2 linked regions of the Arabidopsis thaliana genome follow. The protein of the gene in region 1 interacts with the protein of each later gene in a pairwise test. Each region holds a gene or a part of one and is shown on either strand. Other genes may lie near its edges. The genes, in order: AT2G39725 and ZF3.

What was found.
Region 2: the proteins of AT2G39725 (region 1) and ZF3 interact in a two-hybrid assay, tested with the Arabidopsis thaliana proteins (one large-scale study listed by BioGRID).

What each region holds. Positions count from the first base shown.
Region 1 is NC_003071.7:16,565,093-16,573,429, reverse strand, and holds AT2G39725 (LYR family of Fe/S cluster biogenesis protein), read right to left. Parts: upstream 4,001-8,337; 5' UTR 3,915-4,000; exon of another isoform or gene 3,847-3,914; intron 3,368-3,846; 5' UTR 3,361-3,367; coding exon 3,088-3,360; 3' UTR 2,682-3,087; downstream 1-2,681. Other genes in the region: RCA (rubisco activase), read left to right, coding at 85-129, 614-930, 1,022-1,127, 1,227-1,312, 1,404-1,876, 1,958-2,239, 2,364-2,479; RHC2A (RING-H2 finger C2A), read left to right, coding at 4,719-5,924.
Region 2 is NC_003076.8:17,328,293-17,336,392, reverse strand, and holds ZF3 (zinc-finger protein 3), read left to right. Parts: upstream 1-4,746; 5' UTR 4,747-4,761; coding exon 4,762-5,343; 3' UTR 5,344-5,448; downstream 5,449-8,100. Other genes in the region: AT5G43175 (basic helix-loop-helix (bHLH) DNA-binding superfamily protein), read right to left, coding at 1,159-1,254, 1,392-1,523, 1,611-1,829, 1,908-2,132; QWRF9 (QWRF motif protein (DUF566)), read right to left, coding at 5,657-5,701, 5,779-5,886, 5,981-6,070, 6,152-6,268, 6,505-6,624, 6,813-7,118; AT5G43155 (QWRF motif protein), read right to left, coding at 7,153-7,177, 7,242-7,933. UniProt on the Arabidopsis thaliana protein: Transcriptional repressor probably involved in abiotic stress responses. Binds DNA in a sequence-specific manner and can repress the transactivation activity of other transcription factors.

The sequences.
Region 1 (8,337 bases):
TCTCTCTAAGCTTCTTCTTCTACCAATCTAATTCCTCTCTTCAGCTTCTTGTGTTGTGACGCATACTCGTCGCAGTCTTGAGATATGGCCGCCGCAGTTTCCACCGTCGGTGCCATCAACAGAGCTCCGGTACACTTCAATCTCCATTAGTGGTTTAATGTTACTTTTAACATAATCTTAACGCTTTGTGCTTATCCACCACTTGAATAGCTTTGGTTTTTACAAATATAGCTCAAGAATTTGATCGTTTGAATCACTTTGAGATTCTCTGACAGAACAGAAGAATCAGGACTTTAACTAGGAAATCTAAAGATACTTTGATGCTTCTTTTATTCTCTACTTGTGAACTATAGATTTAGTAGATGTGTTTAAATCGATGTATAGTAATTGAACTGAAACTGTAGAGACTACTACTACTCTTTAGTCTTCAGGACTAGTCTATACCTTGAGCTATGTGAACCAAATTAAAGTTTATTCCCCGGTTTGGTTCGGTTCAGTTCCTGATTGAGCGCCTTTTATCCTTAGGAATAGTCTCTAAACCGGTTCTTGAACCATATAAACCAAACTTGAATTCATGATTGGTGATTGAACTGTTTTTGTGTGTGTGTTGCAGTTGAGCTTGAACGGGTCAGGATCAGGAGCTGTATCAGCCCCAGCTTCAACCTTCTTGGGAAAGAAAGTTGTAACTGTGTCGAGATTCGCACAGAGCAACAAGAAGAGCAACGGATCATTCAAGGTGTTGGCTGTGAAAGAAGACAAACAAACCGATGGAGACAGATGGAGAGGTCTTGCCTACGACACTTCTGATGATCAACAAGACATCACCAGAGGCAAGGGTATGGTTGACTCTGTCTTCCAAGCTCCTATGGGAACCGGAACTCACCACGCTGTCCTTAGCTCATACGAATACGTTAGCCAAGGCCTTAGGCAGTAAGTTCTCATCTCTCTAGATCTCTCATTAGTTCCATAAAGATTTTGGAGTCTTTGGTTTTAAAAATTGTCTTTACTTCTTGAAATATAGGTACAACTTGGACAACATGATGGATGGGTTTTACATTGCTCCTGCTTTCATGGACAAGCTTGTTGTTCACATCACCAAGAACTTCTTGACTCTGCCTAACATCAAGGTATAATTTAAAGTTTTTCTTTTGAGTATTTTTTGGTGCAATCTTGACTTATTACACAACTTTATTGATCTTTAAATGCCTGTTTTTTTTGTCTCATAGGTTCCACTTATTTTGGGTATATGGGGAGGCAAAGGTCAAGGTAAATCCTTCCAGTGTGAGCTTGTCATGGCCAAGATGGGTATCAAGTGAGTCCATTTCCCAAATCTCCGATCTTGACCCGGTTTCTGTTTAGCTCTCTTTCGACAAGAATCTAAAAAAGTTTGAATCTTTTTGCAGCCCAATCATGATGAGTGCTGGAGAGCTTGAGAGTGGAAACGCAGGAGAACCCGCAAAGCTTATCCGTCAGAGGTACCGTGAGGCAGCTGACTTGATCAAGAAGGGAAAGATGTGTTGTCTCTTCATCAACGATCTTGACGCTGGTGCGGGTCGTATGGGTGGTACTACTCAGTACACTGTCAACAACCAGATGGTTAACGCAACACTCATGAACATTGCTGATAACCCAACCAACGTCCAGCTCCCAGGAATGTACAACAAGGAAGAGAACGCACGTGTCCCCATCATTTGCACTGGTAACGATTTCTCCACCCTATACGCTCCTCTCATCCGTGATGGACGTATGGAGAAGTTCTACTGGGCCCCGACCCGTGAAGACCGTATCGGTGTCTGCAAGGGTATCTTCAGAACTGACAAGATCAAGGACGAAGACATTGTCACACTTGTTGATCAGTTCCCTGGTCAATCTATCGGTAAGAAAGATTCTTACTACCCTGAAAATGTTCTATATAGGACCTCGTGCAGAATCTGATATGTGTTTTTGGTGTGGACAGATTTCTTCGGTGCTTTGAGGGCGAGAGTGTACGATGATGAAGTGAGGAAGTTCGTTGAGAGCCTTGGAGTTGAGAAGATCGGAAAGAGGCTGGTTAACTCAAGGGAAGGACCTCCCGTGTTCGAGCAACCCGAGATGACTTATGAGAAGCTTATGGAATACGGAAACATGCTTGTGATGGAACAAGAGAATGTCAAGAGAGTCCAACTTGCCGAGACCTACCTCAGCCAGGCTGCTTTGGGAGACGCAAACGCTGACGCCATCGGCCGCGGAACTTTCTACGGTAAAACAGAGGTTTGAAACTCGTTTGTTTTTTGGTTTAGTTGGCCACTGGGTATGAAAATGTAAAAGAGAAAGAGAAGAAAATGGAATTAGGTTTTCTGAAGTTAAACTTACTTGACTTGCAGGAAAAGGAGCCCAGCAAGTAAACCTGCCAGTTCCTGAAGGGTGTACTGATCCTGTGGCTGAAAACTTTGATCCAACGGCTAGAAGTGACGATGGAACCTGTGTCTACAACTTTTGAGCAATATTATCCTGCTTATTAATTTGCTGTTTTACTCCTATTGTCTCTTTTGGTTTATTTTTCTCCTTTGTGTAATTGTGGATTGGATCTTGTCCTCTTTTGTTCCCTTTTTTTTTTTTTATGATGTACAACACATTGGTAATTTAAAATTGCCTTGTCATAAACTACACTTCTTATTCCAATGTTGCACACTAGGTAAATGCTTAGACATATAAAGTATACAAAATCTGAGGCCAAATAGCACTAAGTAGAACAGAACTATAGGACAAAACTGAATCCGGAAAAAAACAATGTGTCGCATTCACATGTAAAGCAAGACCATTGGCAACGGAGCACTACACCATTGACTGGTACTCTTACAAAGATGAAATCTGATACATTGCTTCTCATATTGAATGATTGCAATCTCTAGACTATTAGCAGATGCACATAATTGTGTGAAAGTGTATATATATATTCAATTGTGATCACAATTCTCTTTATTTTATAATGGACCTTGAACATCCATCATCATACATACATAACTCAATGTAAAAAGAGGAAAACGAATCAATTTCCTCAGCTTTGTTATCTATGGTCACTAGAGCAACAAGCTATAAAATAAGGTATCAGGTTTTAGATGTAACGACCTTGATCGAGGAGAGGCTAACTATGGCAGGGCTTTTGAGTTGATCAAGCTGTTTAGTACCTAACCGAAGCAAATACTCGATGTACTGAAAATTCTTACGGTCGACCTCCTTAGAGTTGTGGCGGAACTCTGTTGACACAATCATCTCTATTCTCTTCCTGTCTTCTATTGGTCTTGAACGAGCTGCTCTTAGAAATCCTCTGTAGAGACTCAAGACTTGCTTTTGCATCCCGGAAAGTTTCGAAGCTCCCATTTTTTATCTTTAAACAAAGACCAAACAAAACAAGCTAATCAATAATATTGTCATGTTACTGCATTTTTCAAGCACATAAGAAACAATTAAGCATAGTGATGAACAACAATCAATAAGATAACATGTAGACAAAAGAAATTAGGAATCATGTAGTGCAGCTTAGAAATAGAATATTCAGCTATAACAAAAGCGGTTAATGAGTCTACAAGAGAACAGGGTTCTTCAAGCAAAACAGACAATGTTGGCCTCAGATTCAGAGAGAAAACGAACGATACTAATCAGAATTGTGACTAACAAGGATTTTAAATTCTATTGTCTATTACTCAAACTCAGATAATATAGCTCAAGAAGATATATATGTAAACAAAATTGTGACAGTATCTGATTCAACGAGATCCAGGGCTGTTTCATCACACAAAAAATACTAGCAGAAGTGGCATAATTTCATTTCCTCAAATAGAACATTTTCCAGATTAAGAGAAATACCTGATTTTCGGAATTTGAAACAGAGGAGCAGGAAGAAGAAGATGTTGTGAAGGGAAAAGCAAGCGTACCTGTAAATATCTCCAAAATCGAAAGAGCGAGAGATGGAAGAAACTCTGGGATTCTTCTCACTAACTATTCTGGGACAATTTAATCGAGGCGAAATTACAATAGTTAATGGGCTATACTGGGCTTTTTCATTACGCTTTTGCATTATTACAATATAAATGGGCTTTATCTATTGACTATAATGGGCTTTTCTTTTTTTTTTCTTCTATACTTTCATTAAGAGAATATAAACCAAATGACCCTAAATCTTTTAAGTTTTAACTAGTTGACCAATCTTTTAAGCAAACAATATTTTAGTTTATTGTTATTTTATCCAATAATACGTAATTTAATCAAAAACACATTGTTATTTATAGTTTTGCAAATATGTTAAGCAATTTGTTACTCTTTTACTTACCGACTTTTTTGTTGTTGGTCAAGACTCTTTTTTTTTTTTACCACTTTACAATCAAAATCACTAATCTAAATAATCAAAAATATGAATTAGTGGGGGTGATGGGTAGTTATTATTTCAGGGTAACAAACAGTTTCAATTTTCAAAAAAAAAAAAAAAACCGTTTAATTAAAATTACCAACAAGGAGGAAAAAAAAAAAAAGAGGAGGAGGTGGTGGTGACAGCACACGAAATGGACGGTTGGGTATAAGCCAATTCTGTAATCTTCTTGTTAACACCTCCTTCTTCTCCTCCGTTTATCCTCAAATTAAAAGTCAATCATATCAAATCCCAAATCCTCCCAGATGTTTTTATCATCTTCTTCTTCCTGAAGATTTGATTTCATTTTCCTCTCTTTCAGATCCCTATTCTCATGGCTTCTGGATCTTACTGGTGCTATAGTTGTAGCCGATTCGTTTGGGTTTCCGATTCAATCTCTTGCCCTGATTGCGACGGTGGTTTCCTCGAACTCATCCAAGAGCCTCTCGATTTCACACCTTCCGATTCCTTCACCACCACCACCACCACTCAACATCGCAGCCCCACTCGCTTCCCTCCTCCTTCTTCTTCTTCCTCCACCCCATCCGCTTCTATGCACGCCGATAACAGTCCCACTCCTACCATCGTTACTCGTACACGAAGCAATCGATCTCCTAATCCAGTTATTGTTCTCCGTGGATCTGCTGCTGCTCCTTCTTCTGATGTTGTTTCCGAAGGTTTAGATCGATCTGCTTTTCAGATGTATTACGATGATGGTACTGATTCTGGTCTTAGACCTTTACCACCGAGTATGACTGAGTTTTTGTTAGGTTCTGGATTTGATCGTTTGTTAGATCAGATTTCTCAGATCGAGCTTAACACCAATCGGAATCTTCGTTCTTGTGAACATCCACCGGCTTCTAAATCGGCCATTGAAGCTTTGCCTCTGATTGAAATCGATCCGACTCATCTCTTATCGGATTCTCAATCTCATTGCGCTGTTTGCAAAGAGAATTTCGTTTTGAAATCATCTGCTCGCGAGATGCCTTGTAATCACATCTATCATCCTGATTGTATTCTTCCTTGGCTTGCGATTCGTAACTCTTGTCCGGTTTGCCGTCATGAGCTACCGGCGGAGGATCTCACCGACGGAACCGGTGCTGCTTTGACTGCTGTTACCGCTACTGCAGAGGAAGAGGAAGACTCAGCTGCGGGGTTAACGATTTGGAGGTTACCAGGTGGAGGATTCGCTGTAGGGAGAATCCCTGGTGGTTGGAGAGGTGGAGATAGAATGATGCCGGTGGTTTACACGGAGGTTGATGGTGGTAGACTCGGTGATGAGAGACTTCCGAGAAGAGTAGCTTGGGGTTCGAGAAGAGGTGGAAGAGATGGTGGAGGTAGTAGAGAGAGAGGTGGTGGCTTTGCGGGTCGGATCATGAGGCTTTTCGGATGTTTTAGTGGATCATCTGGATCCATTGCTGCTGCTGCTGCTGCATCATCCGGGTCCGGGTCCAGAATTCGGGTTACTCGTAGAACCAGGTCGTTCTCTATGTTCAGTACGGCGTCGTCTTCGTCAAGGAGACGAAATTGGCTAGCGTGATTACTAGAATTACCAAGCTCTCTTCTCAGGTGAAAACTAAACACGAAAGAACACACTCTTCTTCTGTTTAAATTTTTCCTATGTTCCTTATTAAGTTTTTGTCTATTTCAGTGTAATGATTATATTCATTCCTAAAATTTGAATCTATGCGAGTAAATTGATACAAAATTAGGTGACATAGTGTCTTCAGTGGCAAATTTAGGAGGATATGTTACTGTGAGTCTGTGACTAGATAAGTGAGAGTGTAGATGAATTGAAGAATGTACTCTGAAGGAGATTCATAGTTGTTCTATTTGTAGAAATCGTTACGTGAGTCTATGGATTGTGATACTAATGTTAAGCAGCTTAACCATAAAATAGCGAATGATTTCCAAACGATATTATCATTACATGACTTTTCAACAAACTTGAAAAGTTATTTTGTGGAGTAGATTTCCTGCAATTCATTTCAGAGTATACATATGTGGTGTTACTAACCAATACTATGGGTTTTAATATATATTAACCTGTGAGTACATACTTAGATGACTAAATCTTTAGTGTTCAAACCTAAGTTTTTCATTAATTTTTAAGTTGATGGTTTATTTTCCACGCCTAAAGAGAATTATGCTGCCAAACTTGTACAGCTATAATCTTGGAACTGCAGACACAACCCAATGATACTTACCTAGAGGCTATATATAGAAGAATCTTATAAAGAGACCAATTAAGTTTGAGGTCAATAACCACAGGAAACGTGAAGTAAAGCAATAATAGAGTTTTTATACAACGCATCTGATGATGCTGTCGTTTATTGGAGACAGTCTTTGTAATTTAGCCATTATTTTCCATTAATAGATTTGTTTATGCCCGTTTATGTCTCCTATGTGAATGTACACTTACTCTATCACATTATTGAATTTGAAACTGATTTTGTTTTCTATTTTTCGGGCCGTTGAATATCAACAATAGCAGGAAAAAAATGACCTAAACCCAAATGCTTAGCCTTCTGAAGTTAAGTATTAAAGTTAGGGATTTGAAAATCGATTACTTAAAGACAAAATTCAGATTTTCCTAATGAAATGCCAAACTTTTTTTTTTTTTTTTAAATAAAAAAACCAGAAAAGAGAGAATTTGTTTTGTGCCCATGAGTATCATCAACCTCGCATGTTGGAAGTTCAGATCGTATCCAACGTGGAAAATCAACATTCAACACCAATGCTAACATAAGGCTAGTAGATAGAAAACACCAACCACTTAAACCCTTACTCAGCCTCCTAAAATCATGAACTGAACACATTTCTCACTTGTTCACTCTCGCTGAGAGAGGCCTTGTGTCTGAAATAACATTCTTAGTGTATGTGACTCTAAGCCCAGCGCTATGTTATGGTCTGTTTAGCACCCATATACAGGGCCCATATTATATCAAGAAAATACAATAGTAGAGTCTTACACTATTCTTCTATTTTTTCATGCAATTATATAATGAATAGGTTTCTTTTTGCTGTTTTAATATTCCATGATATAACTTCAACTGTTTTATATGAATAATATGCGCAAATTGTGATGTTTGATCTATAAAGTTTCAAATAATAAGTTATAAAGGCAAACACTACTTTATGGCATTGACCAGTTTTGGAATAAACATGTTGATTCACCAATGTTACTTTACTTTTTGATTATTTCACCAATTCACCCATACATATTTCCATAATTCATGTTATGGTCAAGGTTGTATCACAAAGAAATTCAGAACCATATATATGCAACACAAACATCTTATATATCATTATTAACATACCACCAAAGAATACTCAAATTTTAATCAGCTAGCAGGCTATGAGCCAAGTGATGTAAACGGGACAAACTAGTTCACATAGACTCGTAATTCATTATTTAGCTCCAATCACTTTCACACTCATAATCAAATATTGGATTTTTCACGTCAATCTTATTAGACCATAATACTACAAACAGAAAGATTGGGGTCCCCATACACAATGGTCTGGCCTTGCCACCAAAAAGAAATATACATACGAAAAATACAAATAACGCATTTATTCAGAATTGACTTTACTTCTTCAGTTTGTTTTTATGTTTTCCTTGGTGTTGGTTTTTCCACGAACGTGATAACACCAAAATGTAGTGTAAAATTGTAGGAGCATTATAATCATATACCCGTTTGTCTACTCCGGGTTGCAAGTGGCGCGACGATATTAGTGAGTCAGTGGCATCCACAAAGATGATAAGAAACATTCTCGAGATTGGCTTGGTCCATGATCACATCCAATCACCCTGAGAAAAACAGTCCCAACATTAAATGCTCGAGGCCGTTTTCAATTTTCGACAAAGGTTGTTAATACAAACTATGCTTTTGATTTAGGGATATCTTATTCCGGTTCACGAGTGTTATACTACCCCTTTATCAACATGA
Region 2 (8,100 bases), on another chromosome or scaffold:
TTGTTTTCATTCATTATATATAATAACGAATGGAAATGAACAAAGAGTTTGAACGATACAAAATAGTTTTATTTGTTGACAAGTTCTCAACTTCAACATTCGTTTCTACTATTTGGAATATTCATTGTTTATGTTAATTTTGCATGGTCGCAAGCCATGATTTCAGATTTATACCCAAATGATTAATTTACTTTAAAACAAAGTATTGTATAACGATTAAAACTTTTAAATGCATATTTCGTAATTTTCGGCTTTTTGTTTTCTGGTTTAAATTTTTGGCATATATGATAATTCTTGCATTCACACTTTGCATGGCTTATGCAAATCAGTAATTACCACCAGTCTGTTGGTTCGACACGGTATATATTATATATTTGGTCAAGTTCTACATGGTATGTTTATGTAAAGTAAATAAATTTACAAATTTATCATAATTTAGGGTTCTAATTTTATGGTCTACCTCTAAATAAGATATTGTATATGCACATATAAATCGTGCATTTCATTAAAGACAACACTATCTGATTAGGTGGTAGGAAATAAAAACAGTGCATGGGATGCAATAAAATCACAAGAAAGTGACATCTAATATATTCCTAAACTGAGAATATATTCTCATATATGCTTCACAAGACACGGTTCGATTATTTGATTCTTGTTCATGTCCTTCTGAAAACATCTAAGATAATATTGGATAAATGCATAAAACATTAGCACGTCCGATCCCCTTCGCAGAGACTGCGCATGCACTCACAAATATTCGTATTCATAAATTCTAACTCGCCTTTTAATTATGTATACAACGGTAATTATGTTAAAAACTAGCTTCCGAAATAAAATCTGAAAAGTACCTCTAATATTTATGAAATTAAATAAACACATCTAGTACGTACGATATTGAATTGATATCTAAATAAATATTGGTAGTCCTTAAAATAATATTTATGACTTTCAGGTACATCTTAAAAGAAGATTAAAATTAAAATGCTGTTAGTCCAAATTGTCTTTAGCATATAATAATTACAAAAAGAGTGTCAAGTTCATAGAACGCAATAGACAGAAAAATTGAACAACTCAAACAAAAAATAACCATAATCATGAATATAGAACGAGAAAAAAAACAAGTACTGTAAGTTATGTTATTCCAATGATTTTGTCTTAAATAAGCCGAGACAAAAGATTGTGATGTAGTCCCATATTCAGACCATTGTGAGCAAGAGGTGCATACATCCATAGATCTTCTGAACTCAAGAGCTACATTGCAAAATTTCCAAAAACGACAAAAGTGTTTGGTTAGGAAAAATGGTAAAACAGAGTTTAGGTAAGAGTTTTACATGGTTTCTTGCAGTACAAGAAACGATCAATACTCCAACAAGAAAAAAAGTCGTTACCTTGATTTGAAGCTGCAGGAACTTCACGTAATGGACAGCATCTTCCAGCATTGTGCTTATATCGACCTTTGTCCCATTAGGAACTAGGCTCTGCAATGTCTTTAGCCTATCGTTTATCCTTTCTCTTCGTTTCTGCAACATTCATCAACATTATTATTCCACAAAACCTAAAAACTCAAATCAACAATGAAAATATTTGTTTAGGTTATCTTGAATTACCCTAGCGTATAGGCTCTGAGGATCGGAAGCTATCCCTCTGTTGGCTTTCGCTTTGCGTTTTAGGCTTTTTGATGTATTAGACACTAAACCTAAAGCCTTTTCATCATCTGAACTATTATAACTGCTTAGGCTTTGACCATCTCTCCAAGCAGTCTTAGGCTCGGTAACCAAATTGCTTTCCGAGCTTAACTTTTGCTTCTTCCTTGGTTTCAACAGATCCTGCTTTGCATTACCGTTATGGGTTAATATTCGACAAATGTAAACATAGGAAACTTAACATTTTTTACTTAAACTTACTTGTCTTGAGTCGACATTTCGGTTCGTTTGGTGGTTGGAACCATCAAGAACGGCCGCATAGTTACTTTGCAGAATTGTACCAAATGGGAAGAAATCATCAGAAGAGAAAACATCAGTCTCATTTGGAGCATTGCAAAAGCTCGATTCGTTAGATGAACATTGATCAAAGTTGAACATCCCCAAAAGAGACTCCAATTCACCATCTACAAAAGCTTCATTCTCCATTTTTCTTTTCTTATGCGTTCGCCTTTACATTTATATATAGCAACGTTCAAGCTTATATTAGAGACATGAGGAGAATAACTTTGAGAAGGAATATAAATATTTGATGGCTGATTATAAAATCAGGGTTTTAAAATCTCATTGTATCTTGAACAAGTCTTAATGTTCTTAACCTACCATGCTCAACTACGATTAGTCAACTTGTGGGGTCGGTAAAAGCCAAGTTTAGACAGAGTCAAAGAGGTTATGCCACTCCATTGCATGACGAGTACATTAATGTTAGTATATTCTATATATATATAGAAGGATTCATGTTTTTCAATGAATGTTAAACATTTTAATGTACACACAATCACAAATAGAGTAAAGAAAGAATATATGGGGCGCCCCCAATGCACGTTATGTACAAAAATGTCCTGTGACAATGAACTTGTTTTGTTAGTTTTCTAACGTTTGGGAAAATAAATAGTCAATGAAATACTATAATCCAGATGTGAATAATTTCTCTTTTTCCGCAAAACATGGATGATCTTACGTTGGGGTTCGGAGTGTCGATCCATCCAATAAGAAAAAAATTCACGATTCGCTTAAACTAATTAAACTGTAGACATGTAGATATTATCGTTAATGTCCGAGTGTCGGATCACATAGCGAGTCCAAAAAAAGTGAATTCACAACCCAACATTTTTACTAACTAATTTTTTAAAAAAATATTCTAACTACAAATCGAATCTAATTAACCCAATAAGAATTGAATACGTAATTAAAGATGATGATAAACAATATAGACGAGCTACTTTTTAGTCTAAACAACAATTTACTCGTGACTAGAATATGTATCTGCATGCTAATGTGGTCGTTGTCTAATTAGCTTGATTCAAATTCCTATAATACATATTGTTAAAAGATAATGAACAAAGTAATAGTAGAAGACCAAAGGACGGCACGGAATAATTTGAGATTCCGACAAGATCAGATTCACACTCGTTTGCTTGTCTTAAGATCACCCTTACAGAGACAGATAAAATTTAATAAGTCAAAAGTCATTGTCCATAATAAAAACAAAGAAACACAGCTCGGAAATGTATTCTTGTCTCTAAGTTTGAGTTAAGGTACAATGCATTAATCTCACCGATTAGCTATTCATTGGTTGTTAGATCTATTTTTTCAACATCCCGTTACTAGATTAATTATAAAGTTTTTTCTTTCTAAAGATTACACACAAGTTTATACTAGATGTTGTTAAGCTATTGATGATTCAACCATGCATAATCTGTTACCGACGATTCTCCCATTGCAACATAACCCAAAAGGTCCCCCTTCCGCTTGTGAAAGGAAAAACTAAAGGTTTAGAGATATATGCACACATTATATTCGTGAAAGCACATGCATGACCCATATGTTTTTCAAGAGTTTACGAAGGTCATCGTTGCTCAGGCCACCAAACTTTGCTGGTATATCTGCTTCGGTAGCTTGTCTTAAACTCGTTAGTTGCAGCAAGCCTAAGAATCATTACACTTCATTAGGCTTTTCGTTTTTAGGCATCTAACATGATGTGTCTTTTAGATCTCGTAATGTGAGAAAAGAGAGAGAGATAGGTTACTCTTAGAGAATTAGGTTAATTAATTGTTGGAAATTATTTTTTAGTTAGCATAAAGACCTAATTATATAAGTAATTATACAATCTATATTATAACGTAAATAGCTAGTAAAAATGATACAACTTAGATTCTAACCTAAACGTGAAAAAAGCACCCATAATCCTAACTTTAAAAGAAAAGTCCCAAAACCTTATACTAAAGAGAAGACCATTAAACCAAAACTCTTATACCGTATCATGACACAAGTTGTTGAATCCAATTTAGTGTAACTTCAACTCTAGACATTCACGCATTTGAATTAAAACCAATAAAGAAAATTTCATGATTCTTGGTTGCAATGGGCTGTGGGAATTAAGTTATAAGCTCTTTGTTTCTTGTTGTCATGAGTTCTCTACCGAAACATCCAATCATCTTTTATATTCAAGGTTTCCTCATTATAATCTTAATCTACACACATTGCCTCCGTTTTCAAATGTTTGGACCAAGTAATGAATGCTATTGGGTTTGTTCAGAAATTCCCAAAGGTACAACAAACCTACACTTAAATAAATAACTACATATATAAGCAAAGTGTTAAAACATAAATGAAAAGCTAGATGAATATTAATTGTAAAATACGGCCTAAGTTTAGAGACAAGGTTTTTATTAGTTTTAAAGAATCAATCATTATTGTGTGTAGTTGGATTCAAATGTCAACTCTCAACTAGTCAGAAGAAGAGTATATAGCCCGACTTGTGTAACATTTCTCTCCCCCACAAAACGTGCCAAAATTAATATATTCCACTCTCACCAAATGTTGAAATAATATTTTAATTATACATTCACTTTCGTTACAACTTACAACAAACAACTTGCTCAGCACATATTTCGTTTCAACTAAATACTTAAAATAATTAGAATGGCCAATTTGGCCACCCACTCTCACTCTTCTTTCTCACGCAACTTCCTCTCTTCTCAAGATTCTTCTCCATACTTCACCTTCTTCTATATATCTCTCTGCTCTCAAATTAGGTTTTAAATTTTCTATAGCAATGGCGCTTGAAGCTCTTAATTCACCAAGATTGGTCGAGGATCCCTTAAGATTCAATGGCGTTGAGCAGTGGACCAAATGTAAGAAACGATCCAAACGTTCGAGATCTGATCTTCATCATAACCACCGTCTCACTGAGGAAGAGTATCTAGCTTTCTGTCTCATGCTTCTTGCTCGGGATGGCGGCGATCTTGACTCTGTGACGGTTGCGGAGAAGCCGAGTTATAAGTGTGGCGTTTGTTACAAGACGTTTTCGTCTTACCAAGCTCTCGGCGGTCATAAAGCGAGCCACCGGAGCTTATACGGTGGTGGAGAGAATGATAAATCGACACCATCCACCGCCGTGAAATCTCACGTTTGTTCGGTTTGCGGGAAATCTTTCGCCACCGGTCAAGCTCTCGGCGGCCACAAGCGGTGCCACTACGATGGTGGCGTTTCGAACTCGGAAGGTGTGGGGTCTACTAGCCACGTCAGCAGTAGTAGCCACCGTGGATTTGACCTTAATATTATACCGGTGCAGGGATTTTCGCCGGACGACGAAGTGATGAGTCCGATGGCGACTAAGAAGCCTCGCCTGAAGTAAGTCTTTGTTGAAGACCTGGAAGTTTATCAAATGTAAATATCAAATTTCAATTTCAAGGAACAGTTTTGTTGATTCTATTACCAATACACAATACGATTCAATTCCTTTGTTTCTGAAGTAACAGCATACTAAATTCATTAGAAAACCGAATCGAAAATATTTACAACTGACTTTTGTTTGGTTGTTAAACTATCAAGTGAATTTGGCCTCTCTATTTGAATTAGATGATCTCCTTACATTCTCATAACTCCAAAATTGCCGATAATGAGTAGCTTTCTTACTTACACTCTGTTTTGTTAACTTTGCCACCTTACTATTGTAGCTGTGTAACCTGTGTCCTCAAACTGCATTCTGTTACCTGCATAGTTTAGAGATTAATCCCCAACACTGTAGGTATAGTGCAGACAAATCTATAATGAATTTGAGATATTGTACCTGCAGAGCTGAGATTGTGTTTAGAAGGTCCCGGCACACGTCGAGCATCCCTTCGTCCTTGGCATTCACACGGCCAAGTTCTGCTGCCAAGCTACTTATTTTCCCAACCTGGGATATTGGCTTTCACTTTGAAGATACAATATGAATAAAACGCAATAGAAGATTGTGCCATAAACATTATCCGAGAGAAAAGAAGAGTCACCTTTGGCAGCAACAAGCATATGGAAGATGCCATTGCTTGCATAACATCAACTGCTGAACAAATGGCATCCTTAACACTTTGTACATTTACCTGCGATAACATGATCATCAGCAAGGATCACATGCTTTCCCAACACATAACTAAAAAATAATTTGAGTAGAATAGCCAAACCATTGCCCCGCAATCAACAGGTAGACAAAGGGTGCTGCCTTTCAAAGCTTCAGCAGCTCCTACCAAAGAACCCATATAATTCCGATCAATAACCAACCACTCTTCTAGATGTCCCATCTATACATAGGCATGAAAAACATTTAAGTTTCTGGCTAAGTAAAATTCAATTAGATGAAGCTTTTAGGAGGTCCCAATGCTGTAATAAGCAGAGCATACAAAGGAACCGAAATAGAGATATAAAAGAAAGAACAGAAAAGGGAAGAACAGAAGACTGAGAGTAACTTATATAGTGTTACTAAAAGAGCACAGGGGCTAAAGGCAGTTCAATAAATAACAAAAGCGGATTAACTTACCTGCATATTGAGGATAGATATCAGTTTCAAATTCTGCTTCAGGTGCTGCATTTCAATTCTTTTCATGCTGACAGAATTATACAGATTAGAGATACTTCTCCATGCATTGTACAGTCTTCTCTGCAATGAAAAATATAATCACTTGGACAGAGACAAGCCTGTACTAACATAAATAAATTCGAATTTTCAACACAACACAGATGTACGTACGAGATTGTTTTGACTGAAACTGACAGATTTCTACAACCAATAGCTGTTGTGCTATCAATAATCAAGATTCTAAAGCATTCAGGAAGAAAAGGTCTAACCTCCTCTCTCATCTTTTGTGAAGAGATAACAGCATTTGCTCGTGCATTAGCAAATTGCCATTGCAGCAACCTACTGTGTAATAGCCTTAACAAGTGAGCATCAGCAACCCCATTATCTCTGATCTTCTCTTTACCATCCACAGCAAAATGCGGAATCAAAGGCGTGTTTTTACTCAGTGAGCTTCTCACTCTTAGTGGACTCATTCTATCTGAAGGACTAACCCCTCTTGGAGGAACAACCTCTCTCGAAGGGCTTAAACCTCTAGCAATGCTAGTTCCTCTCGGACTTGACAAAGCTGCATTCATACCAAATTTACTAGGTGAAGCAGGTCGAATCTGCTCACTTTTTGGAAACAATTGGCTTCCTTTGGGGACAATACAGAACTATCCACAGATATCTTCCTCAGTCCATGTGAGCTAGGCTCTAACCGATCCTGCGAAACTCTCGCCTTAACCACATTGCCACGAGCTGGTAACATTTTCCCTCTTCCATTAGAGCTTCCAGAAGAAACACTCTCTGTCTCCAAATCAACACTCGTTATCCGCTCACGCGAAACCGGTCTATTACTAACCATGGAATCCTGCAGAGCTCTAGCTACACCATTGCCAGATCCGATCAATTTCTTCCTAGTATCAGTGAAATCTACACTTCTACTACTTAAACAACTAGGTTGCAGAGACCTAGGCCATTGATCAGAGAGTTTCAATTTCTCTTGTTTACCTCCACCACTCTTAGATATTGTTGCCGAAGAAGTCGTCTTCCTCCTCTCTAATGTTCCTGGAGTAAACGAATCCGCCTGAAACGACGCGAACAAGCTTCTCCCAGAAGTCAACAACATCCTCTCCGCTTTAGAAACTTCTCGTCGATCTAAAGACTCACGACGTGGTGTTGATTGCGGCCGATTAGTAGCAACAGACGACGGAGTCACCGGTCGAGTAACGATCGGAGATTGACATCTCTTCGGTGATGATTGGTGGAAGAAAGAAGAAGTACCGCCAAGGTATCGTGATGCTACATCTCGTGTTTTTGGGCGGCGATTTGATGATTCCGATGGAAACGACGGTGGTTTGTTCTGTTTAACGTTTGCGTTGAAAGAAGGTGAAATTGTTGCAGCTGTCATCTCCGACATTGAGAAATCAACATTGCCTCGTTATTGAATGTGAGCAAGGAGAGATTGAATAGAGAAGATTTTTACGGATTTGAGAGATTCCCGGCGAGACTAGGGTTTTGATTTTAGTAGAAATGTGAGTGAATTTTGCAGTGTTAGTATAAATCTCCGGCGAACTT